Linked DNA regions of Astyanax mexicanus. The protein of the gene in region 1 interacts with the protein of each later gene in a pairwise test. Links are inferred from orthologs where the notes say so. Each region holds a gene or a part of one and is shown on either strand. Other genes may lie near its edges.

What was found.
Region 2: the proteins of dmd (region 1) and ctnnal1 interact in binary tests that used the Homo sapiens proteins (3 or more experiments, as listed by UniProt). The two-hybrid records come from large-scale screens. The link is inferred for Astyanax mexicanus from reciprocal best matches to the Homo sapiens genes DMD and CTNNAL1.

The regions. Positions count from the first base shown.
Region 1 is NC_064428.1:3,145,545-3,162,854, forward strand, and holds the start of dmd (dystrophin), read left to right. Parts: upstream 1-9,457; 5' UTR 9,458-9,576; coding exon 9,577-9,661; intron 9,662-13,793; exon of another isoform or gene 13,794-13,812; intron 13,813-13,908; exon of another isoform or gene 13,909-13,928; intron 13,929-17,310. Other genes in the region: uncharacterized protein knl1, read left to right, coding at 170-268, 352-467, 1,296-1,386, 1,577-1,693, 2,036-2,123, 2,223-2,346, 2,477-2,581, 3,739-3,839 and 5 more. UniProt on the Homo sapiens protein: Anchors the extracellular matrix to the cytoskeleton via F-actin. Ligand for dystroglycan.
Region 2 is NC_064410.1:47,338,208-47,355,039, forward strand, and holds the start of ctnnal1 (alpha-catulin), read left to right. Parts: upstream 1-9,682; 5' UTR 9,683-10,101; coding exon 10,102-10,212; intron 10,213-10,354; exon of another isoform or gene 10,355-10,465; coding exon of another isoform or gene 10,466-10,525; intron 10,526-16,832. UniProt on the Homo sapiens protein: May modulate the Rho pathway signaling by providing a scaffold for the Lbc Rho guanine nucleotide exchange factor (ARHGEF1).

The DNA.
Region 1 (17,310 bases):
ACCATCTGAATAAAAATGTAAAACCATGCTGATGATCACGTTTAAATTAAAGTAGTGACTTCCACTTTTCATGACATTTCTGTATGCACTGGTTGAGATACCATGCAAGCTATTTTGTCTGGCACAATTTCATGCAAGTTACCGTTTCCCTCCCTTTTTCTTTATATAGACACTTGCAGATGGAAGCATCACAGTGAATGAGTTCTTAAGCCACTTTGGTGCAAACTCTGTAATTCACAAATCACGACCCAGTGCTCTTCCTGAAAATGTAAGTTGTCCAAATTTCCATAATTCCATATATATTTCAACTGATAACTGATCACCTCAATCTTCTTTGCTTTTGTGCTTTAGTTTAGAATCACCCAAACCAACACACTGATGGACCTGCTCAGGGAAAAATACATTTTCCGTCCAAAGCAGAGAGTATATGAAGCAGATTGCCAGAAACTGGCAGAACTTGCAGAGGGGTATGTACTTTTTTTTTAAAAAGGTTTCTACATTTAAATACATTTGGGAGTGTACAGATCTGATGTTTAAGTGACAGTTTCCTCAACTCAGATTAAAGGTCTTTTAGACAGAAAAAATGGATTCGATTTTTAATGTAGTGAAACCTTCATGGCCTGATTTTATATAAAAACATTTAATTAACCTCATCATCCAACAGTTTCAGATTTAATGTGAAGGAAATCATAATGTATGTGTGTTCCTTTTTAAGTCTTGATGTGTTGCTTTTGGACTGGTTCGTTTTGGTCAGACCGTTTATCAGTAATGTTCATCTACAGTAGTACACGCAGTATAGATATAGTTAACATGAGCGTATCGCAAATAAGAGTCATAACTGTTCCTTCTCTCATTCTGTTGTTTGATGGTTTGGACTGGCCGCGGTCTAACCCATCCTGAAATACTGTTTTCACATTGCATGTTTCAAACCATGGTTGAGTTGATTTTAGACCAAAACTACCTCTTTGGGTGAGATGAAATCTTGGTCCTTTGGTCCAGATTGTGGTCTGGAACACATTTCACACCCGCCATTTGGTTCAGACCAAACTGAAAAAAAATCAGAAGGTTTGGACCAAACAAGGTAGGTGTGAAAGTAACCTAAATCTTGGCTTAAACTAGGAAAGGGTTTACACTGATGATGATTGATTCATCTTTGGCACATTCATGTTTAGCCCAAGGCTATGCTTGAACCACAACAAGTAAAGCAGCTCTAACAGTATTAGTGAATACTACTGTTAAAGTGAAATTGTGTGTTTAGGGAGCATTTTAAATCCGTAAATTATGATCTGTTTTAGGTTTAAAATGCAGATGACAGAACAAGATAAAGCACTAAAAGATGTCAATGCAGCAGTTCTACAAGATGTGTGCGCCTTCTCAGGTGTCCAGGTAAGTCTTTGGGCCTGTTAAAATGTCTGTTAAATATGGGTATAATTCTAAAAATAGAATTCAAAAATAATATTTATTTGATTTTTTTAAACAATCAGAATTTAACACAGAAAACTAAATTGAGACATTTATCATTTAGGCACTAAGAGGAAAATAAGTAGCTATGTTTTTTTTTCTACATATTCTACAGCTACAGAAATTTGGTGGAAAGCTGAAAGAGCGAAGGGGAAACTTCAGAAAGAGAAGCAAGGCACTTTCTCATGAGATAAAGGAAGCCTTGTACTCTGAACTCTGTAAAACGACTCAGGTAAGGTTATGTTGGTCATGCTGTAATCATTACCCAACTTGTGAAAAAGTAATATATATGATTTATATATATATATATAAATAAATTAAGACTTATTACAAACGGATTGCTTATTAAGTTGATACAGTAAAAGCATGTGTTCAGAACATTCCGTTAATTTATAGCAGGTCAGATTTTAGGATCATCACCTTGATCACGATGAGGAGTTAGGAGCACTTGATCTGTACAGATACTCACAGGAGGGAATGACGAACGTTTTCACAATGCACTAATCACCATTGCACTTTATTTTGTGGGAGGTTTTTATACATTTAAATGATTTTAAATGTTTTATTTTTGTAGGAGTCAAAACAGAAGTTGGTGGATAAAATCTCAAAGACCAATGAAATTTTGAAAGACCTAGATGGATGCATTATTGACCTGGAATCTGGTATAGATTCGTAGATATCTATTGACACAAATATTATAATTACTTTTACTTGTATTTATCATTTGCAATCATTTAAATTATGGATTTGTTTTCATGTAGAACTGGAATCAGTGAGCAGTATACTGACGGGCGATCAACATTCCCTAAGTGAAGATGAGTCGGCTTTAAAAGCAAAGAAACGGGAGCTTGATGTTCTTAATTCAGATGTTGTAGAGACAGAAAAGTACGTATAAACTGTTAAGAATTGTTATGTGAATTATAGTTGATGAATAGAACCTTTAAACTTCAAAATATGCTCATGGTGCACAACTGTACAAGATTTTGCTTACACTCTGCCAACCCCCCCGTTCCAGACTAATTTGTGACCTAGAACGTCAGCGGGTTTCTTCTGAGAGCCTTTTGGGGAACCTGCAAGAAGTCGTCAAAGAATTTGAAAACCGTATCAGAACTCTGAACAGGTAATACACATACATATAAATAAACATTCTCAAAACATAATGGGCCTAAAATACATGATTGTACATCTTTTGTTTGGGGTGGTGTTACAGCACTAATATGTGGTTTTAAAAATGTAGGTGCTTTTATTAATTAAACCATCTGATGTATATTTCTTTATTTATTGATCCTCTCAGGTTACAAAGATTTTATTGCAGTGTGTATTATTGCATTTATCTTCTATGAATTTGTATTTGGGGCATAATTTATTTTAGGTCTTAAATCATTGTGATGTTTGATTTGTCAAACACAGGATGTATTGCTTACATTATTTGTACCTTTTATTACTTGAGCTTTATCATTTATTAACCACTAGACAGTACAGTTGGGTGTATCTTGCTACTTGTGAATTACGTCTATAGAAGTGTAGTTGTGACAATACTAATAATTATAGTTAAGTATCTGCGAAGTACCTAATAAACTGGTAGCTCAGCGTAATGACTGCGCTCTTAATAATACACACTGTCATATAAGTGAACTAACAAGATAACAGTAGCAGCAGGCTACAGGCAGATTATACTCACTTCTAAATGGCAGAAGAGCAAATGCTTAGCGTGGTTAGCGGCTAATGCTAATGCTGCTCCAGTCTGGGTGCTGGAGAACTAAACTGAATCTCCTGTATAACTCTGTACTTCAGTGGAGTGACTTTACTGCTCCTTAATACCTGACTGATAAAATTATATATAAGGTTCACTGAATTTTTTTGGGAAAATTAAAGGATTAAATTTTTCGTCCGTCTATATGTAAACATACAGCATTAACATACTGTAATTTTCACACTATATTAGAATAGTTTTCTGTCTTAAAAAGTATTTTAAAAAGTTATATGTATCTCCTTCTTCCATAGGTCTTAAATAAATTCTGATTTAAGACCTATACAGACAGTAAATACAATTTAGTTTTTATTTTTTGTGCATTGGATTTTACCGTTTCCAAATTCCATATACAAGTTAGCTTACTGATTTAAAGTCTGACTGGAATAGAGAACCCGCAGCATTTATTACAGGGGGCGCTATTTTCAGGTACTGTCCTGTAAGCATGTGGAGGTGTTGGGCTTCAATTACTATATTAAATATTATTTATTTACAATAAACAAGCTTAATCATGCTTTCTTTTTTAGTTTGAATGAGTGGCAGTTTTGTGAGCGTGAGGAAAACACGGCTGTTTTCAGCTTTCTTCACAATACTGTTGAAATGGAAGTAAAATTGAAAAACCCTGGTGGTACGTCTTAATGGATACCTCTCTAATTATTTATTAAATTATTAGTGTTTCAAATACATTAAATGTCACAGTAAATAATATGAAATCCTTTTCTTTTTTCTTTAAGAAAGGGGATGGATCTGTGATGTTGAACAGGATGTGGATCTATCATTCAGGTTTTTATTGAATGGTAAGAGAATTTTGATGAATTAAGGAAATGATTTTTTGGGGGGAGAATATTTGTGTTAAGTAAAGTATTTACTACCCCTTCACTGTATTTAGCTTACAATAAAGGACCTCTGCAGAGAATGCTACCCAGCTTAATCAGTTTGCTTGTAGAGAGTGGACAATACCTGTTTATGCAGGCACTATTCCGGTGATGAACCTTTGTGTGTAAGAATAAAATAATTTTTTATCTTTGTCGGTTAAGACTGCGGGTTGGCAAAACGATGCATCTCATGATAGTGCTTATGATTTAGTATGTGATGATATATTGTGGTTCTGTAATCATGGCAGTGTGTTGTGGTTGTTTAAATCTGATTTTAGATATATAAATGTATAAAATCACTATTCATATTTATAAAATCTGCAGAACAGTGAGGTTTAACAAGAGTAAAGCACTGCTGTCTAGTGTTCATGGTTTTATTTTTCTGCTATACTGAAAATCAATATAGTATTCCCAAAAATATTACACAGCTATTATTTAAAAAAAAAACTCTAGCATGTTTTTATTTTTATTTCCATTAGGTGACGCATCGCAGCCTCATGCCCGCATGGTTCATGTGTTGCTTGCAGAGCACATTAAAGCCCAACCTACGTGGACTCAGAAGTACCCAACCACACGACACATACCAGTGGTATGTCTAATGTTTTGGTTGAGCTGTATGGGTGGGCATTATCCCCTCTAAGAATTTAACGGAATTATCAGTTTTTTAAAGGAATTATCTTTATGTAATACCATTAATGATGCAAAAATAGGAAAATGATATATAATTAATACGATGCTTAACACATTTAACAAAGTCAATGGTAATTTTTGGAATAATCTGAATGTATATGTAATTTTTCCACAATAGTTACTCCATAATGTCAGCTTGGTGGTGAGCAGACTTCGACTTCTAGGTGAAGAAATCCACCAGTTGAAGAAATGGGGAGGATTGAGATTTGACATCCTACACTTCAATTGTTCGGATACACTGTAAGTCAAATCCTGTATTCAAACATACACTTATCATCTGTCAGACTTCTTAAAGGTGATTTCACTAGAAAGCAGTTAGTTTTTGCTTCTTTGAAATACAGTAGGTCACTGAGTTGTGTCTGCATGCTGCATGTGAAACTGTGCTTCTACCTGAATTAACCAATAAAAGAAAACGAGATTTTATGGCCCCGCCCACTGCAGTGCTGTGAAAGGATTGTCGCAGTGCCCTAAGTGACATTTGCATATCATGGATATTCATGAGTAAGAGAAAAAATCCTGTGTTTCTTCCCCACCCATTCCTCCACCCAAATCCAACACAGAATTAATGATAAAATGAGACCTTTACCATCTTAAAGAAATTAAACAGATAATAAAAGCATCATTTTGTACACTCAGTCAAGGCTTTTTTAGCAACACTTTTAGTTTGTAAATATGAAGTCAAAATAAAATTATTTTCTCAATATGATCTGCTTCAATCCAAAAAGTGGCATGTCTCGATGTCACACCTGACCAGTTGTATGTCAGTTAATATTGATTAATTGAGCCTCATAAAACTCAACAGAATTTGTCTTTAAATGTAAAGCAGAAACACTTTCCTTTCACACCTGTGGTTGGTTTCTCTGGTCAGAATCCATTAACAAGTTTGTTTACTTGGTCGGATTTAGTTTCACACAATAAAAAACGCAAGTACAGCAAAATGCATCACAACAAACCACAGTGACTCAGAGTGGTCTGGGGCAGGGATAGTAAAATAAAGAGAGAAAGGTCCTGTTTCAGACCAGCATGCGTATTTGTGTAGTGTGAAGCTTCTTTCACACTAAATGCTGAAGAGTGTGCTGCCTTCCCACTGAAAACAATATATTCCATGCTGTGAGAGGGGAGCACTGCACTCACCATGTTCAGTAATATAAGAACTTGGCATGAAGCAACACTATAGACGCCCTTTGTTCATAGCTCTATTAATATTCAGAGTAATAAATTCGGTTAAATGGCACCTGTCTAATCACATTCTCACAACAAATATTACTGGTGTGGAAACTCTTATGTGGAACCACTCTACCAACGGAGTTATGCTAGCTTCTCTTTCTTCAGTATCCTCTCGCAACTGGAATTCCTTTTGTATAACCGAATAAAAATAAACCCCTTTTAACAATATGAGGTTATTATTATTTGATACTGAAATGTGAGGTGTAATATCTTTTTTTCTCTCTTTCCTAGAGTTGAGATTGTTTTCTCCAGTATCAAGGCCTGTGCCAAATTTGAGCTAAGTCTGACTGTAACTCCAGACTATCCCTTGAATCCCCTTCAAATGCAGAAGTTTCAAAATCTCATTGGGAAAACAAGGTATGGTATTTTATTTGTTTGGTTTTAAATGAAGGGTGTTTTGCAGTTACTATTCAGTATACATTCATTGTCAAAACTAGATGCATTCAGAAGGATTCCGTCGACAGGAATGAATCTTGGGGGATGGTCTTGCCAGACTTTCATAGATTCAAAGAGTGGCTTCAGATTGTCACGCATCACTTTTCTGGGCTTAGCAAAATATGGGGATAGATAAACATCATAAAATGCGTCTTAAAACAGCATACAGCATTCTGGAAACAAGATGGAGAAGTGCATAATATCCTGACGCTTTATCTATACATCACTTGAGGAAATATGATGCACATTGAGTAAGCATCATTTCTCTTGTCCTTGTTTAAAAGCTTATTGTACTCAGTTTTTTTTTCTTTCTTTTTTCACAGAGTTGACCAGATTGAAGATGTCTTGTGCTCTGTTACGCCGGCAAAGAATTATCTGACTAACCTCATAAAGAAGATTCATGCTGATCTTCTGTAAAAGGACTTGTGTGACCTGCAATTTTTTGTTTAATGAGCAATGAAAAGTGCAAAAAAAAACAGATGAATAAAAATTTTAACCAGCATTTTTTAACACTTGCGTGTGTAATTTAACTTCTTGTGAGCGCAAATGTGAAACTTGCAAGCAAAAAAAGTGAATTGTGTGCGCAGTGAATAAAATATTGCTCTCAAGCTTCATTTTTAATCCTCTCAGGTGTTTTTTTTTTCTCTCTCTTTCTTCGTCTCGAAGTCACCGTTCTCCTGTGGCAGCAGTTTGTGAGCGAAGGGTTGTTTGGATGATAGCATAGGCAGCTAGCTAACTCTCCTGCTGTCCTTCTTTCTCCACCCTCCTCAGGCTCTGGGAGGTAGGCGGTCCTTCACAAACCCCAGGAGATATCAGCCAATAGTGTTCGCTGAGGGAGGTGATCCTGACTCCGCCCCCAAACTGTCAAAACCACCCCTTTCAAAAGTCAAGGGGCGAAAAAATCACCCGCGCACAAACTGCAGCCACAGGAGAACTGATTTCGAGATGAAAGAAAAACCCTAGAGGAGAAAAATGAAGCTTGAGAGTGATATTCTGTTCAGCGTGAACACAATTCCTTTGCGCGCGAGTTTCACATTTGTGCTCACAAGAAATTCATTTACACACGCAAATGTTAAAACACGCTGGTTATTTTTGACATTGATGTGACTTTCTTCCACTTCAGTCATATTTACACACAACTTGGTCATGTATATACTGTTCAATGATAGTTGCTGTATGTGGAAACTGTCTAATAAATGTATTTTTGCTGTCAGTTTTAGTCATGGTTCTTGAATTGGTCATGTTAATGCATATTATTGTGAGAAATGAAAGTTTAAAGCTATAAAACCAAGTCTGTAACTGGCTACAAAATATGGAAGTTGTACACATAACCAAAAAGTACATTGGGACAGTGAGTGAGGCAATTTCAAGTTCAGACCAATTGTTCCATAAGAGAAATCTCTGTAATTTGCTCAGCTAAAGTTATCCGTATGAAATAGGAAAATTATTTTATACTTTAATAGACAAATCCATTTCCGTGTAGGTATATGGACTGGGTGAATATTTAGTTGCTTAAATAGCAAAATGTTTTAATGGTTAGTTAGCCTGTAAATAACTAACTATGATCATGTACATATGGGTGTTTACATACAGTATGAAGAAATGTTTCTTCTTTGTACGAATAATTTAAATGTAGATCATCCAACTAATTTGAATATAATATAAAGACAATACAAATAAACACGATGCAGCCCTGAAATGATCATTACATTTGTTAACAGATAAACATCAATTCAAAATCCAGATCATCCATGTGAACAAGTAATTGTCCTTTTAGCTACTAAATCAACCAGTTACTGAAATTCAGTTTAAGAAATCTAATTCACCAGATCTGATAATAGAATCTGTCTGTCAGTGAAAAGCAGACCTGGTCCCAGAAAGCAGGTGATAATGTCAGGATCAGTGGAAAGTGTGTTCTATTAAAATGAGTTATTAATTTGGGTAAAGGAACAGATTCCACAGTAGCCCAAGATGCTTCTGCAACACCAGTGTCACTGTGTACAGTTAAATAAAAAAATTAAAACAAATAGACGAAGAACAAGCTTCCTAGAGGAAAAGATTGTGATGCAAAAATCAAGTTGTTCAGCCACAATAATATTGGGACACTAGGCCAACTGTTAAGCATTGTGGAGTAGTATCATACTATGGGGCTGCTTTGTTGCCAGCGGGCACTAGTTCATTACATAACCTGAACAGAGTAATGAAGATTTCTTTATAACCTCAAACCATCAGCCAGACAGTTGAATCTTTGACACAGGACAGCAGGGAGGGGACAAATAATGCAGCATTATAGTTTACCTTCTCAGAATCCTGATTTCAGTCACATCAAAATTATTTGGTCTGTTCTTAAGGTCAGATCAGCTTCAGGAATATTTGTTTCTGCCCTGAGAATAAAAGGTTTTAAACAATAATCATCACTGTAATGTGCATGAGTTTATGTGAACTGCTGCCCATTGTACATCCAGGTCCAGAAACTTCTTTTGACCTTTTAGCTAATTCACTCTAATGTGATTCTTGCTCCTGTAAGGTCCTGATTATTGAAGAACAGGGCAATTCATATTTTGCAGAGAAAAAAAGGACTACATGCTGTAATTATAGAACTATAAAGTGCTTCTATATGGTTAGATGAGCTTAAAAATGAATTTTAATTGCACTGCCTTTTTTGTCCAGATCCAATCACCACAGCCTCTGATTGGATTATATAAACTATGATCAGTGTGTATAACTGCCCTTCAAGCAAGCAAGAGGACTCTCCAACCCAATAGGAACATTCTTATTCACTATTTACGAATTAACTACAGGAATATTTGACACTCTACCTAAAATTCAAAGGAAACATTTAAAAGTTGTAATCAATACTTAGATTAATTAATCCTAAATAGACCCGGCGTATGTTTGTGATGCAGTCCACGGTGACGCAGACCGTCTGTAAGCTCTATTTTGAGATGAGAAGACTCTGCCACCTGTTCCTGCTCTTCTGGGCCTCCTGACAGTTTGCTTCCCCTGAATCATAACAGTTCAGTCCTTACAGCACTAGCATTTACTCACTACCCTGCATCCAGCCCACACTTCACCTACTACATCTCTGTGGTATCAGGCACTGACTGTTTGATTTTGATACACATCACATTTTCTGCCATGGCTGAAGCCGGGTACTCGGAGGACCAGTGGGAAGTGGAGGCTTCTGAAGATGAATTTGGAGAAATCATAAAGAGTCGATCAGGTAAGAGAACCAAACTCACTGTAGCGTGTAGCGAGGCAAATAGGATTTCAGAAAATAAACATTCTGTGGAATTAACTTTTTTTATGTATGCATGTTGACGTGTAAGTCATTGTTATTAACTTTATTTTAGTTGATGCGTCTGCTCATTATGGTTCTATAAGTCTTTGTTTTTGTAAAACCTTTGAAATGAACATATTTGTGTAATAATCATTTGGCTTGTGACCCTCCCTGAATCCAGCTTAGACACAGAGTGGGCTATATTTACTCCCCCGATGAAATATGGTCTTAAAGAACTTAAAATAGCAGCAGCTGCCTGGTGTAAGATTACTAGTGGCCTTGTTTGAGCTAGTATATTGTTGTTAGCTAGCAGCATAAAGACATTTAAACTACTAATTTAACACTTTTACCAAGATTCTCAGAGTCTATAACTGCTGAAGAACGCAGCTCTTCTGCTGCTGTGTGAGTGCATGTGAAGAAGCTCTGCAGAATGTGGGTGGTCTATTGTTAGTCACACTGTGGCATGCTTTGGCATTGAGTGTCCAGTTAATTTAGAGCATTTCTCAAGTTGTATGCGACAGTTTGGCTCTGGAGGTTTGCAACTCTACCCTGTTGCTGTCCGTATCCATCCTACGTTCCTCTTTTATTGCTCATGCTAGGGCGTGCCTGTGCTTTTTAAATCTATCTTTATACTGAATGAAGTAATGCTTCATTCAAAGTATTTATTACAGTTAAATCATTCCAGTTCAATTGCTTGTTACCACATTAAATAATCTGTTTAGATTATTAAAAAAGACAACCCAACTTTTACATTCGCTTATACTGTGTGTGTGTATATATATATATATATATATATATATATATATATATATATATATATATATATATATAATCTTTACCAAAATAATCACAGTAAATATTTCTATGTTTAATTGCCATTTATTGAATGCTGATTGTATGTACTGTTATTTATTCTGATGTGTGAATGTAATGATGATCTATGTATAGATGTATCTATCTATGTATGTAGAGTGAAAGATAAGTTTATTGGGTGAAACTGTAGAAAAGTATAGAGACTATATTACCCTGTTGGACTTCTAATTGGCGATATATCTGGACAGTCCTGGGAATTCTGTGTGTGGTCAAGAATTATCCTGCCAGTTGGAAGTCCTGCAATGAGTTGTTCACAAGTCGCTGAGCTGTTCGTGTTCCCCGCACCACTACTAGAGGTGACCAGCTGTTGTATGCAATGGATCCCCAGATCATCACAGCAGTGTGTCACTCCACAGGAAAGTCAGGATTAAAATCCTTATCCAAAACTCTATATTCAAACCTGACTGTTGTTGGATCCCAAAACAGAACCTGGATTTATTGCTAAAGACAATATAGTTCCAGTCTGAGATTTCTCTTTTACAACACTATCATGAATAAAAGTGATGAATAGCTGACAAAAACATCCTTCTTCCTTCTTTCTCTGCAATGATGTGCCCCCTTTTAAAGTCTGTCAACTGGGAAGAATTGTCTTCAAGTGTGACACTGAGTCACAATCTCTCACCAAGAAATATACATCCATATGTACAAAAGAGTCCAGTCATAATTTAGGAGGTATTTTTTCCCATTCTTCCTGTGAACATGTTTTACTGTGTGTAACCCCAGCTGGCATTTCAACATTAAATCAATGTTAATGTTATGTCAAAGTCAAGTCAAAGTGGTTTTTATTGTCATTTCAGCTATATACAGAGTGAAACGAAACAACGTTCCTCCAAGGACCATGGTGCACATAAACACAGTGTAGACAGAACAATAGTTGTCTCCTCATCTTTTCTGCCAAAGCACTAAAGCTGACTCAGGTTTCCAAGCTCAGGGCACTAAACCTACTGGAACGCGTGCAGTTAACTAGCTAGCTTTATACGCCGCTAGCTTTCTTAGCCTAAGCCAAGTCCATTATACCGGAAAGGGCCCACTGCTCCAAAAATACACACCTTCGAGTTTCTACTGTACAGACCCCTGTAAGTGTAGTCAGTGAGGACTGGAGATAAACAGATAAATAGCTAACGCTAGCTGCTGAGAATGGAGTATTTTTGGACATAAGAAATGTTTATATTATCGGTGTACTCATCACTGATCAGATAATCAGATAGTAATCTGATACAAGGCATCTGCTCCTCCACTGACTGCAGTTCATGTTAGCTTGTGTAGCATGACTGCGTTAGCCGGCATAGTCCACATCACTTTAGCTAACCTAGCTATCCTCACCAGTAATGCCTCAATTACCCCATGCCTTATTCTCCCAGCTGCACACAGAGTGATATAAATGCAAAAACACATTTTTTGTTAAATAATTAAAGTGACCATCCCAAATAAGCTAACCTAGAGATTGTGATAAATGACCTGGCTAAAGTAGCTCAGCTACCTGTTCAGGAGAAAAGTAGCAGCTCAGCAACTATATTTACTCTTTCTGAGCTGGAAGACTTCTCCATCTGTCCAACTCACTGCCAATATTTACTCTCATTTTATTCCATCTTTGCTCCCTAAGTGGATGAATGCCAAGGCTTACGGCTGTGTAGCAGATAAGATTTGGGCTAAATCAGACTGCTTGCTTGCTTGCTAGATTCCATGTCGTCTGCTTTGCCGGTGTTGTGTTCCTAAAACTGGCAACCTTGGGGTAAAATTAGTGTTGGGGAATGAAACTGGAGATTTAAAATTCATATAGTGGATAGGCAATTAGGTAGTGTTTAAACTCACAGCACATGACGTCTATTCGTTATGTTGTCCTTTAGACAGAAATTGTATGTTCAGAGTGGATGCCCAAAGTTAGGTGGTGTGAAGAGGTGGTTTTAATATATGTAGCTGTCCATGCATCGACATATTAACCATCTTATTCTGTAAAGGAAACGCAGATGGTGTCAGTCTAAGATTCCTGTCTTTATATATGTTCACTGAATGATTTCAAATACATGCTTCTATTTAATTTACAGTATTATGTGTTCATGTTGCGATTGTAAAAAAGTAAGAGAAAAACCTAAATTACTTATTCACATGTTTATTAAGCAGAATTGTCCAACATGTATTTATGGCTATTGAAACAGAACCACTTCTCTGTTTGCAGTGCAGACATATTGCGACCCCTGGCTGTTATCACTATCACCATGTTTACACCACAATTAGTGATTTGTGAAATGTGTTAAAGCGTGCAGAGTAGCTTTGATCAGAGTGAGTACTGTTCAGGGGCCTGTTGTGTTGTAGTGAAAGTGAATGTTATTGATAAATCAGTTATAGGTGCTGTGTTATTTCTGGCTGAAGATTCTAACTATAGCCTATAGGCCATCTGCTGTCTCTCCAGCTGCCCCCTTTCTGTACAGCAGTTCAGAACTGGCTGTGCTACTTGGCAGGAAGGGGAGTCACTGTGGAAGAAGAGGATAAGAGGGTTGAGAGGGAAGGTGTGAGAGGGGAGGTGTGGAGGCAGATGCTGAGAGTCTGAGTGAATGAGAGAGGGAGATCAGGGTGAGGTGTGAGAGAAGAGGTGTGGAGGCTGAGAGAGAGAGAGAGAGAGAGAGTGATCAGGTAGAGGTGTGAGAGGTGAGGTGTGGAGTCTGAGAGAGAGATAGAGAGAGAGAGAGAGAGAGAGAGAGAGAGAGAGAGAGAGAGAGAGGGATCAGGGTGAGGTATTGAGAGAGGAGGTGTTGAGTGAGTGAATGAGAGAGTGGGATCAGGGTGATAGGGGAGGTGTGGAGTCAGAGAGAGAGAGAGAGAGAGAGAGAGATCAGGGTGAGGAGTGAGAGGGGAGGTGTGGAGTCTGAGAGAGAGAGAGAGAGAGAGAGGGATCAGGGTGAGGAGTGAGAGGGGAGGTGTGGAGTCTGAGAGAGATAGAGAGAGAGAGAGAGAGAGAGAGAGAGAGAGAGAGAGAGAGAGAGAGAGCAGGGTGAGGAGTGAGAGGGGAGGTGTGGAGTCAGAGAGAGAGAGAGAGAGAGAGAGGGATCAGGGTGAGGAGTGAGAGGGGAGGTGTGGAGTCTGAGAGAGAGAGAGAGAGAGAGAGAGAGAGAGAGAGGGATCAGGGTGAGGAGTGAGAGGGGAGGGTTCAGTATAGAGTTGTGTGATGGAGTTCAGCACGCGCTGAGAGGAGTAAACATGCAGCAGCAGCGTCTTCACTACAGGTAACTCTCCGCTCACTCACAGCGCCCCCTTACCCAGAACCCGTCTGCTCCAGAAACACCTGATCACCAGAGCAGGAGAGATTCCTCCATACCGACACAGAGCCTTGCGCGTGCGGGTAAGACTAAACACAGGCAGGGGAACATGGAGAGAGAGAGAGAGGGGGGGGGGGGGGGGGGTGGAGGTAGGCTGGTGTTGATCCATGTGATCAGGAGCTGCGATTATTCTGCTCTTCGCCACAGAAACCTGCACTGACGCATTTATTATCGAGTCGCGCTGTCGGTCACGCGCCGCTGCTAGATCGCACGATATTTAATAATAGCGCTGTATCCATTCGGGCGCGTGTCTGGATCTGGCGGATCTCTCAGATCAGACCGACTTTTTACCGAGCTCGACCCTCAGATCAGATCAAATCATTACCGCTTTAGAGCACGATAAACCCGCGCCCGGGTTTTACTGGGTTCTGGTTCACAAAGTTTCGCGACATATTTTGTGACCCTTGATCAGCATCATCATACAGTTCATAAGCGCACACGCGCAGCTTAATATCGGGCTCAGGCAGTGTGTTTGGAAATAATGTTTAGAATAAGAGGCTGATTAACACAGGCTTCCTCTTTCCCGAGCACATGGTGGAGTATGGGTCTGAGCAGCAGCAGCAGCAGCAGCAGCACAGTGTTTATAGCGGCTCTGTGGGGTTGAGGAGCTGCTTGTTGGTCTGTTTTGTTTCTACAGGAAGATTAAGTAACTGAGGCCAGCAGCGCCTCCACATCCCACCGAGGTCTCTGTCCGTTTAGCCGCGGCTCAACCTAGTTACCTCCTCATCCTATTTGCACAAGGGCGGCTATAATCCACCGAGCTACACGCTGCTGTGGCGCAGACGCAGCTGCCACCTGCCTCCAGTCACGCGTCTGAGCAGTCAGACCTGCGCTCAGGCTCCAGCCTGTCTGTCGCACCGCTCCGTCTGTCTGACAAGCAGAAACGCTGTTTTATACTGAGGCACTGCCCGCCTCTCCTCTCCACTGATGGGCGGAACCAGATTCTGAATTAGATTCCAAACAAACTATCCTCCTGAACCTGATACGAGCTTTCTGAAAAAGGTCTTCATAGAGCAACGCTTCATCATTCGTACCGAAAAATACGGTAAACAACGATATTTTAAGACTTTAAAACATTCTTAAATTAGTCCGCAGCTTGTGTGTGATGCTATTGTTGTTAGTTGGTTTAAGTGTTTTGTGTATGTTGGTGTTGCCTAATAGTGGTTTTGACGAGCATTTTTTCTATTAAAGTCAGGCATAAAATGATTTAGCAAAAAGTGCAACTGCTAACTGTCATATTATCTGCCATTATATATTGTATGTACATGAAACGTTTCACGCAACTACATTCAGTAGTAGCATGCTCTGCTGTTCTAAAATCAGTCGTTTCATTTTTTTATTATTAGTCCAACATAATCTACCTTTAAAGACAAAATATTTAAATATGAGTAAAGCTGGGCATACACTACACGACTTTGAAAATACTCTGAAAAGACTTTTAACAGACTAAAGTCTGACACTCTCTCACATCTAAAGACTCGTCACAGACTTTTTACTAACAGACTAAGATTTAGTAAAGACTGGGGATCACTAACTGCAAGACTGAAACTAGATTCTTTCCATACAATATATATTACATATTAAGTTACAAATAATGTGTATATTAATACTGTGATTTATCAGACTCACAACTTTTGTCCCCATTAACAGTTTATATTTATGTTCTTGATATTTTGTAATAGAATACTTTTTGTGTTAAACTCTGTCTATAAGCTTCTATTCCTCTTTTATTGCAAACAATTACAGTTTCACTGCTATATATTTGCCTTTGTTTTAGATAGAATTAATGCAATAATGAACATAATTCTTGCAAAATGTGTATTTATTAAATTGTTTGTATCAAAAATAAAAAGGACCATATTAGGCATATTAATAGCAAAATACGTTTTTTTAATTGTTTGTAAACTGTCATAGAAAAAAATATTGCGTCTTCCCGTAGCTCTCTTTTCTATTGGTTGTTGACATTGTTCACGTCACTATTTGCGTGAGCAATAATATTAAACACTGTTGATTTTATCTGAACGCCAGAATGAGAAAAAGACTGAGTAAAACTTTAAATCCTACCCACCTTACACTGAACCATCGAGATGACACGACCACAACTCGACTCGAGCAAGACTCTTGTGATTTTATCCCAACTCTGGAAATTTGTCTGCGACAATGAAATCACTTGGAAATCATTTGATGTAAGGTCGGCATAACGCAGCCCTGCCTCTCTCCCCATCACATAGTAGTATAGTAGTATAGGAGTATAGTAATGGAACTGAAGAACTGGAACAGTTGTTCAGCTATGTTGGGTTAGCATCTGTTTGAAAGGTGTCATTGGTGAACTTCACATGCCTTGATTGTACCATGTGCTAGTCTTCAACCACCCAGCACTGGTGGTATTTTGTATTAGTGGAAGTTTTAGCAATTTGGAGAAATTGTAATTGTAAATCATTCAAAACAACTAGTAAAAATGACTAATACTGAAAACAAAGAAGTATCAGGTTTTTTGTTCCACTGTTGAACTGCAGTTATGTTGTTTAAATGCTGTTTCTTGTGTCCTACATTCCAAGCGCTTCTGGTTTGTTAAAATAAAATCTTTTTTTAATGCTTTAAGTTTGGAAAGAGTGGGAAAATCCTCACCCATTACCACGTGTTACATTCACATTAGGAGTTACTACAGTTCAGCAGCATGCAGATGCATGAAACATCATTTGTTTTACTTAAAGTCAGTTCTGTTTGTTTCTGCACACCACCTCACCTTTTGTTCTTGTGTGTTACCAGTGGTTTACACCCTCTTTTAAATTCATGATCGCATGTCCTCAATAGTGTTCTTGGCTTGAATAGATATTGTGAATGAGCTTTTTTAAAGAAATAAATAGTATATTAGTATATTATATTCTCTTTCAATATGCTTGTTTTGTTGTGTTTTTTTAAAGCTTAAAGATGTTCTCTTTTAGTCCTCTCAACACTTCTTTGGACTGCATATATATAATATAATTTCTATATATATATATAAATATATATATATACATAAATTAGAAATCAAGGCCAAAATTTTATCTGCATAATTAATTATGAAATGACAAGGGAACATAACACACATGGAATCAAATTATTGTAATTTTTTTCCTCTAGAAATACAGAGGATTTGTAAATGCCAGTATTTCTTAAAGAGATGACCACTTGAATTATAAAAGACATATATGATTCAGTATCATCTTGATTTTCTCATTTCAAAGAACATGCAGTGGAATACAGAGATCTACTGCAAACAACTCGGTCAGTGCAGTGTACATTTTATCATATCCATTAATAGTTTGTTTTATTAGTGTGATAACTTTTGTATACAACATACAAAAATAGGCCAGTCTATTTCTTTAAACAATACTTGGCCATCTATAACACCAAGTGAAGAAA
Region 2 (16,832 bases), on another chromosome or scaffold:
CTCCAGACAAGTTTCCACTCGAACCTTTGGCGCTGAAGCCCAACAGCTTCGCATTCAGGGGCCAATTCAGTAACGCTGGAATTGCTCATTCTCTCATCAGCCCCAGACCACACATCTTCACATGCCTTGAAGTCAGGCCATGCACCCAAAAGTGATGGGCTAGTACTGATCTTCAACATAAAGAATTTGTCTAATGTGAATATTCTACACAGCTCAGTGCCATCCCAAACACTCAATAACCCCCTGACCTGCGCAGCCTCACAAACCCATAAAACTACAGTATTTCAAAATGATAAACGATTACAGCCTTTCCAAGAGAAACACAAGACTTATGCAATTCCTCTCCTTGGACAAAATTCTTTGTGCTCAACAGCCGGGAAATTTTTTATTGATAGCATCTCACATCAGCTTTCTCTGCCAGGACAGTGGAGAAACTTACTTAACATACAGTACGTTCCTGTGAAGTAAATCTGCAAAAGAGTGACATCTAGTGGCAATTCTAGACACTGCTTGATGGCTTGGTGTCCCTCTGATGCAGGGGTGTCCAAGGGCTCCTGTGGATGCAGGTTATCATTCTAGCCTATTATAAGAAGAACATGTTAATAGTTGTTTGATTACTGACCGTGCAAAAAAAAATTAAGAGGGTTCAGGTGTGCTGCTGGTTGTTTAGAATTAAAAACTGCAGCTCCACTTACACTTTGCAGACACCCCTTCTCTAAAGAATACTAAAGGATATCTTGTTGTTTTCTACCAACAAATGCTATTTTTTTTTTACAATAAATACTGTATTTTTACAGAAACACATAATTACTCCGAAGAATATGAGATATGTAGGACTATAATAATAGTATTATATATAAGCATTATAAAGTATCTCCAGTGTTCTGGCAGAAAAGGATAATTTAAGATATCACCAATAAAAAACAAGCTATGCCAAATGTTAGAGGAGAAATTGTATACATTAATTTGATTTTTTTTATTTTTTATGTAGTAGATTAATATTAAAGACATCAAAACTGTGGAGAAACGGCTAAAAATTCATAGTAAATTAAAAAATGAATTTTGCACATGGAGGAACAGTTTTAAGAGAATAATGTGTCTGTTTCCAAAAGCTTATGGACCTTACAAGGTAGTACTGTGTGATTTACACACTGTAAATTAATATTGAATACTTTAAAACTAGGAAGGAACACTAAAAATAAAAACAGAAAAGTGTTTGGCCTTCACAATCACCCAACCTAACCCCGGTGTTCAGCACATTCCTCAACAGCAGACTAGATTAGATTTGATTAGATTAGATTAGATTAGATTAAATTAAGCTTTATTGTCTATGTGCCAGAAACTGGAATGCAGATAGCATCTAACTAAAAGTGCAAAATAGCAAACATATGTGCATAGGTGCAAAAGGACAGCATTAAGGCCACAACTAAGGGGCATACACTTCCTTAAGTCTCTGCTTTGGCCTAGGGACTGCTAAAAGTCACTGACTAGACAACCTAAGTGCCCTCACAATGAATTACAGCACAAATAGTTCAGAGATATTTTGTGGCCTGTGTATCAAAACCAACATTTAAACTGAATCCTAAAAGCAACATGCAACTAATGAAAAGGTATCAGTACATAAAAGCATTAATAAAATTTTCTTTCCTTACGATATAAATAATGAACTTTAAGCTGTGACATTTTCCATTCTTCCTTTACCCGCCGACAGATATTTTTCAAGAGCAAATATCATTGCTTATCCATAGAGAATAACAATGAGAATTCATTAGAGGTTTTATCCTCATTCTGGGGCAACCTTGTTAAAAACACTTAAGCATACACTGTTAAAAGAGCTGGCCAGGTCATTAACATCAGTACAAAGAGACTAAAACCTTTATTCAACTCAATATTCAACAGAAATGATGACTAAAAATAGTAGAATAAAGCTCAGAGCCGGCCCAGACCAATGTGATGTATAAGGCGAGATTATGGTTGGAGTCCCTTGAATCATCAATCATTGTGTTTAGCATTAAAGAGTAAAAAAGTATTACAGAAACAAGAGAAATTAAAATGATTACATAATTATGTACAAAATTCGGAACGATATATAAACATAATATTAATATATATATATACTATATTAATACTTTATTGCATTAACCTGCACAGTAATAAAATCTGTATAATAAATTATATAAATATAATTATAAAAGCTAATTATATTACCTATGACACATTATAGCCTGTAACATTCTAAAGACATACATACATACTACATACTGTATCAAAAGCAATTAATATGTATTAATAACTACAGGAATATCATTTTGATTGACTAATATAAGAAAGGCTAACATTTGTCCAGTTTCTTCAGGCAGATAGTGGAAGCTTTGTGCAGGCAGTGTGTTTAATTCTGAGGGGACGACAGATGTATGTTATGTTATTATACCTGAATGGTCTTTCCTAGTTTTATTAATGAATTTAGGGTAGGCGTTACAAATGATATAGAGATGATTGTTAGCTAGCAGTTATTTATTAAATGAATGAACAGTAGCTACTAATGTTGCATCTGACAGAATGACAGGATGGGCTTTTAAAAAAAAAATAGAATTAGTAGAAATACAGTTTACAATAAAAGTTTTTCATTTTTTTCTTGGTGACGCCCTGGCCTCCTATGGATGGACAGTGCCACTAGCATATGCCTATACTGCCTATGAGACAGGTTGGCTCTTATACTGCTATTCTAAAGATAACTATGCATTTGAGATATACAGTATCCAGCCTGGAGATCCAGTAGATGGAGCTAGACATTTAACCTGCCTGTGGCATCTGGCTCATCTGGATCATTTCATATCAAATCTCACATCTAATACATCAGAAACAAAAGCATGGGTCTGGCTGTTTCATAGCAGACAACAAAAGTGTGTTGACGAGCAAAAAATAATGGCATCAAAGAGCCTTGCGCTAATAATGTTTGACAGCAGCTGCATGAGTCGTGCTATTTTCTGACATCTGGGAGCGTGTGTTTCATGCGACAGATAAAGTGTTCCTCTGTGATTTGCAACAGCTGTCATTTTGAACTAGAGCTAGTTAGAAATTGTCACTATTCACAGCAATCATACAAACCATACACACACACACAGATACAAAGAGCTTGGGAGACTTCAAAGCTAATATAATCTCTTTAGCCTTTCCTTATTACCCAATATGACACAAAAATGTAGTCCTGTAGGGCTTTTAGACAAAAATCACATCATCTACCATCATATTTCTGATGTGCATTAGTTTAGACTGTTTAGTCTCTCTGTTCTCATGCTGTTACTGTAGCTGACCTCAGCTGGGCTGCCACACAGAAGACAACAGCATCCCAAACAGAACCAGCGGTCACTGATTTTAGTGGCTTAGTGACAGTTTTTGTCACAAGTGGTTTCTGTTCAGCCGTGTGACAGGATGGTGAGGAAGAAGCTGCTGTTGTGTCTGAGCCTTTAAGATGAGATGATTAATGACAAAGGGCCGGAGAAAGCCCAGGGCACAATCTGACGGATTATTATCTTTACTTTAGGAAAAAAATAGAGACTGTCACATAAACAATTCAGATTCTGACAACAGGACAGTGACTTCTTTCACTGCGGAAAAACTGCAGAACCAAGAAGACGTGGCTATGAAAACAAAGGGCAAACAAGACCAAATAAAGCAGCATACTATTTTTGCTGCTGATATATGGCATCTGATATATGGCAGTATAAAGATATTAAATATTACCATGTAAACAAAATACTATACATACTGTATATTTAATATTAACATATTGTTACGCCCAAATGTTTGGGGACATTATTTGTAATATAAAATAGAGATAAAATGATTATGTGAGACAACATTGATGTGTAACAAGCATGTACACTAACATTCCACATATCATGGGATAAAAATATGTTAGTATCATATCCCATGAAAGTTAAAGAACAATACACAAAATTGTTCCAGTCACAAATTTTGCTTTTCTAGACCATAGTCATACATAAGGAATACTTTTTATCTAAACTGCATGATTTGTCTGCATGAAACAAATAAAGACCTGGATGTGTTTTGAGTCTGTTAAGAGAGACAATTGTGGACATATTTACAGAGATTCATGACCATTTCAGTATTTGTTAGCCTAGCACATCCAGAAGCTTCAGATCTCAAACACCTTGGAGAGCCAACTAAATCTTGAGTAAATAATCCTATTAATTAAACCTTCACCAACTTGTTCTTTAAATTCATGAGCACATATCTGTCATTTGCTTTAGGCTGGAATATTTATATTATACAATCATTTCTTTAATGCCCTCAACAACGTAACACAAACATTAGCAACAAACTCGTGTTTGTGTAAGCTGATAATGGCTCTCTGCACTTGGTCACGTTTCTTGGGGGCATATCCACACTCGCTGTGGAGGTTAGAGGCTTGTGCAACAGGGTGTGAGGCCTTTTACAATGTGGTGTGATAAATGCTTGGTGTGTTCCAGCTCATTCGCTGTGCTTAAAAAAGCCCAGAGAGCTCCAACACTGTCAAGCACGCCAGCATCAGCCAGTGATCCGTTTCTGGGTTTATCTACTCTCATTCTGTCTCATGTAGCCACAGGATTTCTTCTGCCTCAGAAACAATAACCTAATTATCTCCACTGTTCAGACAGATGGGGTAGTTGGTACATATAATTACCAGCAATGACAGGTCAAATTCCATATTCAGAAAAAGAAAGAAAAAAATGAGAGAGAAAGAGAGAGAGAGAGAGAGAGAGAGAGAGGACACTATGAGCACATTGCAGTCATGTCATGTTTTCACACACTCCCTCCACTCAAGCTCGAGTGTCTTACTGTGAGAAGCAGGGAAAGTGCTAATGGGTGTGCAAATATTTAGCGTTTGTGAATGTGATTGACTGTGTGTGTGTGTGTGTGTGTGTGTGTGTGTGTGTGTGTGTGTGTGTGTAAGATTTAGGTGTTGACGGTTATATGGTGTTGGGAAAAGTAAAAAAACGAAATCTTGGCAACGTGCTACAGTTTCCATTCTGTCACCTGCTGCTGACACTGACCAAGTCCCAGTTCGACTGAATCAGGGTTTCTAAAGCTTAGTGGTTGTGAATCAAATTAAGAAGAGTCGATCTCTGCACCAAACCCATTTAATACTACTGGATGCTTCAGGACAGATGATTTATAGAGGCATTTGTACAGCAAAGAAATGCAATTCATCCATTGCTAAGAATGAACTGAACTTTAGGTCCTGTCTCTGATCTAATTTGAAAGATGTTTGCCTGTACTATTCTCAAATTTACTATATATCCAGAGGATGCAGTGAAATTGTGAAAAAAAAAAAATTGGGAAATTTAAGTATTAAGAAGAATGCATCTGTATTTTACGTATCTGCATTCATTCCACATTACACTAGGCACAGTATGGGAAATATTAAATAATATATAATAAATAATATATTAAATATTAATATTTACACAGTTCAGTCAGAATATTATGAACACCTCCTTGTTTTTACACTCACTGTCCATCTTATCGGCTTTACTTATTATACAGAAGCACTTTGTAGTTCTATAATCAAGGACTGTAGTTTTTCTGTTTCCCTGCACTATATTATCAGGACATCCACAGAGCAGGTATTATTTGGATGGTGGATCATTCTCAGCACTGCAGTCATGGTGGTGGTGTGTTAGTGTGTGTTTTTTAGCTTGTACAATGAATGGATCAGACACAGCAGTGCTGCTGGAGTTGTTAAACAATATAGTGTGACTGCTGGTGGATAGGAGGATGACCAACACAAGACCAACTGTGAAGCAAAAGATGAGCTTTTGTCTACGACTTTACATATACAAGTAAAGGGGGGTTAACAATGTATGCAGAGAAACATATAGACTACAGTCTGTAATTACAGAACTACAAGATGATCCTGTTTAATAATGGATCAGCTGGTCAGCTGAGATCTGAGATCCACCACTGGGGTTTTGTGTTATCTTTCTTGACAGAACACAAGCACTTATATCTTGACTCTTTTTTCAGGGACAGATTAACAAATGAGCCTCCCGAACATGTACCTATGGGCTCTGGCCACTAGAGGGCTCAAAATCAGCATAGACTTATAGACTATAGTTAATAATCATCACCAGGGAGCTAGAAGAATACAAGCTAATGCAAATGCAGTTCAGATAAAGCCTACACCTGTGCTTTTATATAAAAAGAAAATACTTAAAATGACAAATAGAAGTCAAGAAGCCATACTAATAATGAAAAAGTACATAGCTGTTATTCCAAACAACCTGCATCTCAATTGGAACTTTACAAAATGTACAAAGGAAGTAAATCATTACAAATGTGAGGGTGTCCAATTTATTTTCCAAATTCCATATTACTGTGTGTGTTGTCCTTCATTTTTGAGTTACTACATGTAAAATATGTCTACATGATCTAAGCTGGTCATCAGGAGAAAACATCATCTTAGAACTTGAGCAGAAATTTGTTAATTTAAGTTGGATGGACAGGCAGGTCAAATTTCACATTGTACTTGTTGCATAACTTAGTGAAGCTTGTTGGCCAATTTGTTAAAAATAAACATACTGGTCAACCACCAGCATCATGCTGGCAATGCTGGACAACCAGATTGGTCATAATGATCACGTTCTCAAACAAACTTAGACATGCACCTCAACAAGACTGGACACACTATTTAAATTGCCAGATCAGGCTGGTCATATTGATAGACTAGATATACCATCAAACTCAAACAAAAATATGCCCTATGTTGGTCAAGAGCTAAGCTAAGCAGTTAGAAATTAATAAGCAATTAAGTTTTAAACTTAATATATTTAGGGCATTCACTATCACATCACATACAAAATTCCCAAAGCATATTGCCCAACTATGCTTTTAGTCTACCTGACAACCGATCAGTAACTGTAAGCTGAAAAGGGAATTACACACCCTGGATCAGACTTTCCAGTTAAACGCATATCCCATAAATCTGTTCCCGGTTCTTCGGGGAAATGAATGTGCTTATACTACACTTTTTTCCGTATGCTAACTCCCGCTATTTATGAGCTTTACATTCTGCACACAGCTTCCCCTCCTGGAGCTGAGCAGCCAAGGGAAACTCAAGGAGGGCAAAACATCATCAGCATTTCTTTAAAAAATGAACAATCTGTTGGAAACACATTCTACTTACCCTCTATATATTTAAATTGCAAGATCCATGTGCAAAAAAATGAGGTCCCTGCTGTGCATGGCAGCTGTAAAAGTCAAATAAAAGCACAAACTCATCAGCAAAGTAGGAGGAAACTTCACTGAAAAAGATAAGTAACAAAATAAATACATCAAGTATTAACAGCAAATGAACACAGTCAGCATTAAAATTGTAAATGCGGGTGATTTCTCTGGAAAGCACCCTGGGTGGGATGTAGTAAGATCCTCAGTCATAAAGCCTTTATGGTCAGATCGGATTTCTTTTGGTCGGCTGGAGTGCGCCTTAAACACAATTGGAGGAAATATCTGATATTAATGTGAGCAGTCTAAGCAGAGCGGTAAACCTCAGTGCTTGTGCTGGACTGAAACCAACCGCACTCAGGTCCCGCCAGTCTGGTGTGGCTCCACGGCTGAGTTTACTTGGCCACGGCTTCAGTCGACCTGATCAGGGGAAGTGTTCACATGTCACCTGATACTCATGACTCATGAAACTCACACCCCCCGAGTAGTATGTTTTACTGTGGGAACACAGAGACTACGCTGTGGAAAAATGTCACTTGTCGCAAGATAGTTGTCTCTGGTCAGCAGTCTTTCCTGCATTGTGGAGATTATCAGCTTTACCAGGTGAACACTAAAAACATATTATGGAGCAGATAATGCTCACACAGGATGTCGCACACCCAGAACCTCATTAACACTAAAACACGTAATAAAAACTACTGGAAGGCTTTTTCAATTAATACAGTGCCTTTGAGTAAGAAGTAAAAAGCAACATGTGTAACAGAAGAGTAGTATGTAAACATTTTAAGAAGCGTTATTACAGGGGATGGCTTGGAAACACCGATATCTGTATAAGCTTTTATAAGGTCAGGCTGAACACTGGTCACCTTGCTCATGGCAAGTCAATGTGAATGATCGTTGTTCGAGCGAGGCCATAACATTATATTTCTGAAATTGTGTGGATATTTAACATTTCTCAAACTACCGTGTCAGGTGTATACCGGAAATATATCATAGACAGCATTAACATCCATAGTAGACAGCAGACTGCGTGGTAATGATTGTGACTTGCAGCGTCTGGTTAGCCCCCAATTTGGGAACCACTGGTGTAGAATATAATATAATGTAAACTCTGCATGAAGTCTCTGTTGGGCCATGTCCAACATATCAATGCTTAAATGAAAATTATTTAGAATTGAAAACAATTAACCATGGTGGTGCTTAAGCCCTGGCTTTTCACCAGCCACCAAAATATGTATGGTAGGCGAATTAGCTATACTAAATTATCCCTTAGGTGTGAGTGCGTGAGTTAATGGCTGTGTGTAGTACCCTTCAATGGACTTGTGGCTTGTCCAGGAGATATTACAGTCTTGCACCTCATGATGTCGGCTTGGATCCAAACCCACCGCTACCTTGACCAAGAAGAAGCAAATAAAAATTAAATGTTAAAAAATATTAACAAATTAGGATAATTCAAGACAATGTTAAAAAAATATGTATAATAATATAAATAAACATATTAAGTAAACTGTGCTGCATAAATAAAGCTAAAGCATTAATATTAATCCGAAGTACAACTAGGTCTATCACGATAACATTTTTTGTGGACATTATATGGACCCAAAATGATTGCGATAAACAATATAATTGTCATTTTAGATTTAAACAATATCACTGACATAATGATAATAAGATTGCGTAACAAAACAACTATACACTTTTAAATTGTAATTAATCACAGATTGTGAAATATACAATTTTCTTATCCTACTGCAGTCCACAATCATTGGTCTGGTGTTGCATGACTGGCTAAAATACTGTTTGGTGATATGTATGTGCCCTATCATATCAGTAAAATTTTGTAAATGATTTAAAGAAAACAATATTGTAAGTAGTAAAGTGACTTGAAACAGTCTTTTTTTTGTATTTACTGGAAAGCTTTAATGGTTCATTTTGTATAACGTTACATGCATTAAATGTTGTTCTTCTTATTATAATTATTATATTATGTGTAAACCCAGAATGTAGGTGAGTTAGCGTTGTTTATAAAATAGACAAAAGTTTACTGATTTATTAGTGTTTCTACTGAATGTTTGAACGTATTGTCCCTTAACCGAAATAAGTTTTATTATATTTTATAACATGTATTGGTCGAAGTGGCATAAATTAATTAATTTATTAATAATACATTTAAACACTGTAACGTTATTGTAGGGCCAGATTGCTCACCGTTGATTTGAAAAAAAAAAAAAAACTTTTTTGGTAACTTCTCTGTCCAGTCACCTTACCATACCTTATAATTTAGCTTTAGAGTTAATTTTAAAAAAACATTATTTTATAACGTGTAGCTAAACAAACTATAAGTGTTAAGCTAGCAGACCTCTTACTGTGCTTACTGTGAACTGTTAGCCGTGCCCTCCCACTACCACCACACACACACACACACACACACACACGCAAACGCAAACTAACTAGAATGTGTGTGTGTGTGTGTGTGTGTGTGTGTTACAGTCTGTCCCGTACAGCCTGCCCAGTCTCTGGCTCGCCCGCGCGCCTGCTTCAGAGCTGTAGCCGCTGTAGTTGGGTAAACTCCATGGCTGAAGGCAGTCAGTCAGCCGGGGGGAGACGGCGGCTCTGAATACCCGCGGATTAAACACGCGCTGTGGGCTACTCCGGAGGGAATTACGGGAATTATTACTCGGCGGAACCGAAAGCTGGGGAGGGAGGAGTGTTGTTTCTATTTTAGCGAGAAACAAAGAACAAACCCGCTCTGTTTTAGTGAATCTTCTTCTTCCTCCAGTCAGGTAACGAACCACAACAAACTCACTCGGCGGCGCGGTTTCCATTAGCAGGAGAAACACGCTGAGAGAGAGAGAGAGAGAGAGCTGGGCGGGAATGGCTTCGTCTCCCTGTAGCAGCAGCAACAGTGGTGGCAGTAACTTTGACTGCGGACTTGAAATCAAAACTCGGTCTGTGGAGCAAACACTCATCCCGCTGGTGTCTCAGGTGAGTCTCCTAAAGCCTCGGGAAACTTGCCCCGTACTTCTTCTTCTTCTCCGGCTGTGTGGGAACATGTTGGTCGCTAGGCAGCAGCTCCAGCCCGCTCTCAGCGGGGCTGCCTGCCTACACAACTACCTAACTACCTAAACTACCTAACTAGCTAGCCTTACTGTGTGATATAAACATGAAAAAGGGGCAGAAAATGTGAGGAATTTTCCATAATTACCCAGCGCTGTCAGTTAACCTAGCTCTTATATTTATGTTTTGGGAGTGTTTTGAGTTTATAAAACGTGGTGAAAGGAGAACATCCTTCTGGAAAGTAAGTAACTATGTATATTTATGGTTTTGATAACAGCCTAACCTATCAAACAACTAAATTCCCATTTAATTAATAAGTATCTCATTGAGTAGCTACACCTCTGGAAAAATAAGAGCCCACTTAAAATGTTTTTCTTTGGGTTTCTTTGATTTTACCAATTGAATCCCTCTGGAATATAGTTAAGAGGACCAACAAACTGTTAGAATTTCTGCACCAGGAGTGTCATAAAATGATCAAAAACAGTGTACGACTGGTGGAGGAGAACACACCAAGATGAATGAAAAGTGTAAATAAATACCAGGGTTATTCCACCAAATATTGATTTCTTAACTCTTAAAACTTTATACATATGAACTTGTTTTCTTTGCATTATTTGCAATGTTTTTATTTGGAATTTGGGAGAAATGTTGTCAGTGGTTTATAAAATAAAACATCAATGTTATTTTACTTAAACATATACCTATAAGTAGCAAAATCAGAGAAAATGATACAGAAACTAAAGTGTTTTTTTTAACTTTTTTTTCCAGAGCTGTATATATAACTAACTAGCTTGCTAGTAGTTTGTTGAAACTCAGATACCTGCTGGTGTTAAGGTGTATCAGACCTTAATTCATAATATTTTAAAGGGCTAGCCCTGCTTCTGGTTTTTATTTTTGACTCAGTAAACCTCAGCAAACTTAACATATCTTAATCTAACTAATTGTGTTTGTGTGTTTGTGTTTTACTGTGCTCTACTGTGAGACTTCTCATCCAGCAGTAGAAACCTGCAAGGTGTTTTTAGTAGCGGTGTTTGATTAACCCTCCTTATTGTTTAGGAACAGCAATGGTGTTCCTGGGTCAATTTGGCCCAGTGCATGTTTAATTATCCGAAAGAATAAATAATAAGAAAAAATGTGTCAGTTTGACCCGTAACATAACAGGAGGGTTAAAAAAATAATAATAATCACAGTAGAAATCGGTAGTTATTAATCACCATTATTCACACTTTTTCTTACTTAAGACTAAGCTTTCCATAATTGTGTAAATGTAAATAATCAGTGCCATGCACATATAGATTTATATTATTGGTGCCAATCCCTTAATCCCTGTAACTAAATCATGGATAAAATGGTGATTACATTACATGTAAATGCTGGTATTTAAACTACTTTTGGGAAGGGGACAATAATGTATTAAAGTATTATAATATATCAGGGTAGTTTTGATGCTTTTTAAAATGGAAATCTCAGTTACTGAGTTTAATTATAATATTAAAAACAGTGTGTGTTTGTGTGTTTCATGGTGGAAATCGGCAGAAAAGTGAATAAATAGATTACATGAATATAAATCATCCCTATATCAGTATAGATCATGTTCCACCTAATCATTTTATTATCAGTCAAATATTGAATTGAGTGTGTGTTTTAAAGCAAGAAAGCACCAAAATGTGTAGAGCAGTAGGCCTCCAGCCCTAGGGTTGAGAAACAATGGGTTGAAAGACCTGTAAACCCTGTATACCCATTTTTTTAAACTGTTGACATAAATGCTAGTTTATGTACACAACTGTTGTATTACATTATACATGATCAGGCTGTTTTTACTTTTTGCTTTTTTTTTTTAAGTCGAACTGAATTACACATGTATGTGCACACTTTTTGTGGTTAAATTGTAGTTTTGTATTTGCCTTTTCATTTAAAAGCTGAACAAATATTCATTTAGGCTATTTTATGCATGCAGTTATAAAAAAAAACTTGTTTAATTTTGGTTTTGCCCCCAAAAATCTAATATTAACATTATATTAAATCATTTTATTTAAAAGACTGTGCCTAATTGAAACAATAATCTGGACTGGAACACTTCACCTTGTGTGTTAAATCCACCTTGTGTGTTAAATTAAGAGGCAAGGCTGCATTTCTACCAGTGCTGAACAATATGCTGTAACTTAACCCTGCTAAAAAATAATATTTAACATTTAAGGCTGCTGGCACACTGTATCTTAAACACTGTGACTGGTGAGCTGTGGGTCACCATAAAGATCATGACCACCATTGATGGTAATGAGGCTGAAAGGTCAGTGATAGGAGACTCGCTTATGGTCTATTCAGTGTCCCCCTGAGAGATGCAGGACCCTTTCAGTGTCTCATAGGGTTCGCACAATAGGTGGCCCAAGGCATCCCAGTGATAACCCTCCCCCTTTCTCCTGGTCTGTTTCATTGAGCTTATTTCCATTGAAGGCCTTCAATGTTGAGAGCTAAAAATATGCACAGACCAACCGCCTTTTATTTAAACCACCTGATTGTTTCTACACTCACTTTCCATTTTATCAGCTCCACTGAGCATATAGAAGCAAGTTGTAGACTGTAGTCCTTCTATGTTTCTGCATACTTTATTATACTCCTTTTACTCTTATTATCCTTCTTTTACTCTCAGGACCACCACAGAGTCGCTCTTATTTGGGTGGTGGCTCATTATCAGCACTGCAGTGACACTGACATAGTGGTGTGTGCTGCTGGTACTTTATACATAGCAGTGCTGCTAGAGTTTTTAAACAGTGTCAACTTACTGACCACTCTATTAAACACACCTACCTAGATAAATCACTTTTGTAGATAAAGTAAAGTCAGAGACAGGAGTTCACCTGTTGATGCACAGTTTGTGTTGGTCATCCTGTATTCCTTAATCAGTGATCACAGGACGTCGTCCACAGGACTCTATTTGCTGGATATTTCTGGTTGTTGGAGTATTCTCAGTCCAACAGTGATACTTAGGTGTTTGAGAACTCCAGCAGCACTGCTGTGCCTGATCTACCTGTAACAGCACAACAGACACTACTAACACACCACCACCATGCCTGTGTCACTGCAGTGCTGAGAATAATGACCCAGCATTCAAATAAGGCCTGCTCTGTGGTTGTCCTGTGGGTCCTGATGATTGAAGAACAGGGTGAAAATTGGGTTTGTAAGTATGAAAAGAAAAAGATGGAGTACAGTTTGTATTTATATACCTACAAGGTGCTCCTGTAAGATAAGTGGAGCTGATAAGATGCAAAGTGAGTGTAGAAACAGGGAGATGAGTGCTTGGTATTTATAAACCATTAAAAAAGAATGATGGAGTATAAAGAGGTAAGCCTGATGCTGATTAAGAGATCATCTTTATGCTGATTCCTTCTGAATCTGTGTGTATATAGTGTTGCACAGAAGCCCTCAAAACCTCTACATTTCAACAGTAGTAAACAGAAGTTGAGGCAGCTTGGAGGCAAACAGAACTGACGTAGCTGTTTGTTTGTGTATGCTTTTTGTGAAACACTGCTCTTGGGTTAAAAGTGCATGTGCTGAATGACAAATACCCAGCGCTGAGCAAAAGAATTGTTTTTCTTTTCTTCATAATTGATGTTTTCTTCAGCCAGTGGCTTTGCGCCTGAAAACCGCCCTGCAGCAAATATCCGTCAACAGTAGTGATTTCATCCCTGGCAGTGAACATATTGGAGTAAATAATGTGTGCAAATGCAAGTGTGAGTGTGAGAGGTCAGCGGAGGGTTGTGGGAGGGAGTTGGGCTGATTTACAGGGAGGAAATGAAGTGAGAAAAGGCACTATTAAGAGTGTTTTTTGACTTGAAGGGAGGGCTGTGGGGCTGCACATCTATGTGATCTTTTGTGTGATCATGTGATCACTCCCACAGCTGTGTAATAACTGTCTTTAGACTCCAAGACCTCAGAGAACCTTTCTACCTGCATGTCTGCTTAGGTGACACATCTGTGCTAGACTGTGGCTGTATAGGGAAAAAAATATGAAGGCCTTTGTGGTTTAGATACCAAATTTCATGACCTAGGAAATTTTATTCTGTCAATTTTTGAACATATTGATTCATAAGGGACACTCTGATCTAGTTGTTCTGGACCACAATCTAATCTGATAACCTTCATTTTGGGTATGATGTATACAGCTGGACAATATGGCCAAAAGTTTTAACACAATATATTTTTGTTATATTACTTACAATATAATTTTGGGCAATACATGATTCTGAAAAAGCCACCACCCGTGGTGTATGCAATCAAGCACTGATGTTGGCAGGTGTTTTGCCCTTTCTGTAATGAACTTAATCAGTGACAGATGATGTAGAATGTTCTTATGTGTTAGAATGCTAGGCTAATTTTTGATAGTTTCTTGTAGGAAAGCCTTAAGGAAACACATCCAGCATGTCCATACATGCGCAATGACATCACTCTGGTGTGTGAATGAAGAGCAGAAATATATTAGTGTGAGGTCTAGGAGTCCCATGTGGACACGTGGGACTATATATATACAGGTGTCAACCAATACAATTTTATTGTGTTACAGAATAAAAGTGATGTCAGCTGTTAAATCATAATCAGATCATGTCAAAATAAAAGTCAGTAATTCAAATGAATAAACAGAATATGTCAAAAAGGTCACTAATTTGAAGCTAACAGACAGGCAATGAAACAGACCATGTCAAAATAAGAGTCAGCTTTAAATAGATGTTATATTAAAATATGCCTGGATGGTCCTGACCCTGACCAAAAAGAAAATTTTAATCTGGTCATCAGCATCTCTAAATGTATACGGTAGGTGCATCTGAAAACAGATAATGGCAGAAAGAGCAGTTTATTAAGTAGGTCTACCTAATAAACTGGCAGCCCTTTGTAGTTCGCTGTGTATGAAATATATTAGATAACTTATTAAAATAACAAATTTCCCAAACCCAACACTACTACAACCGCATGATAAAACTAACTAGACCTGGCTGATGTGTTAATAATTGTACATCATTGTGGGGTGTGATCTTGTAACTTGAGTCAGGATAGTACTTATAAAAATTCTGCAGAGGCTTTGATGTGATCAGTCAGATTTTGAATGCCTATGACAAGAACGGCTTGTTATTACATATTTGTGCTGGCTCTGTCTTTTTTTCTGCCAGGCTAAGCACCGTTTTCCTGAAAAGATTTGCAGCTATAATTGGGCTGAATATCCTTTCTCTGTCTCACTTTGTTATGTTGAGTCCTTATGATTTTGTTCGTTTTGTGCCATCAATTGATTAATTAGGGTTGTAAAAGTGGGGAAGTTGTGTGTGTGTGTGTGTGAGTGTGTGTGTGAGTGTGTGTGTGAGTGTGTGTGTGAGTGTGTGTGTGAGTGTGTGTGTGAGTGTGTGTGTGAGTGTGTGTGTGAGTGTGTGTGTGAGTGTGTGTGTGAGTGTGTGAGTGTGTGAGTGTGTGTGTGTGTGAGTGTGTGTGTGAGTGTGTGTGTGAGTGTGTGTGTGTGTGAGTGTGTGAGTGTGTGTGTGAGTGTGTGTGTGAGTGTGTGTGTGAGTGTGTGTGTGTGTGAGTGTGTGTGTGAGTGTTTGTTTGTTTGTTTGTTTGTTTGTTTGTGTTTGTGTGTGAGTGTTCACTTAAGTGCAGAGTCTGCCATATCATATACTATACCATATCATTATTCATGCATAGTCTTGGCTGTCCAGAAAGCAGAAGTATTTGTAAAGTACAATTTTAGTCTAAAGCATTATTTAGTCCTCTCTTGGCTCTTGATAGTTTAATGATATGCACCTGTTTTTCACTTTTTCAAGCACACTGTTCCCAGTATACAAACTGCTATCCCATAACGTCTGGCATAATCAGTGAGTCCAAATTTTGTGATGAATAAACCTACAAAAAATTAAATAAAAAAAAAAGCTAAATATTTTTGCATTGACTTCCTTTGAAAGTTTAGTTTTTTTTCTTTGTATTTGAGATAGAAGGTCTTTGCATTAGTGCGCAGCATATTAATTATCCATAGCACTTTATTACAGAAGAAATCTCATGGCACGATTGCAGTAATCAATGGACGGAGAGCAGATAGGATAAACAGTGTGCCTCCTTAGGCGATGGTGATGATGAAGAATCTCATCTTTGTGTAAACCACAAGGGATTACAGGGCCAGATACCTTCCGGTGCTAGAACAACACAGCCGTCATGTATAGTGTGTATAAATGTGGGCTGTGAGCTGTGTGTGTGTGTGTGCGCTTTCCTGTGTGTGCATGTCTCTACTGCATTATATTTGCTTAACCGGTGGAGGTATGAAGGCCAAAGCCAGAGCTGATAAGATTTATAACTGATTACAACTCAACCAGGACCATCTAAGCTGCATTTTACTTGAAGCTCACACCAAAAAGAGTCTGACAAAGAATAATGTTGTATAATGAGACATTCGTTTTTAATCAGACAATGAGTTACATCACCCTTGAGACTGTGTGGATCAGAGGAGCAGGCCGTAAGTAAAGTCAGCATTGTATATGTGTGAATTTTGCAGATTAGCTTTCAAGCACTATGTT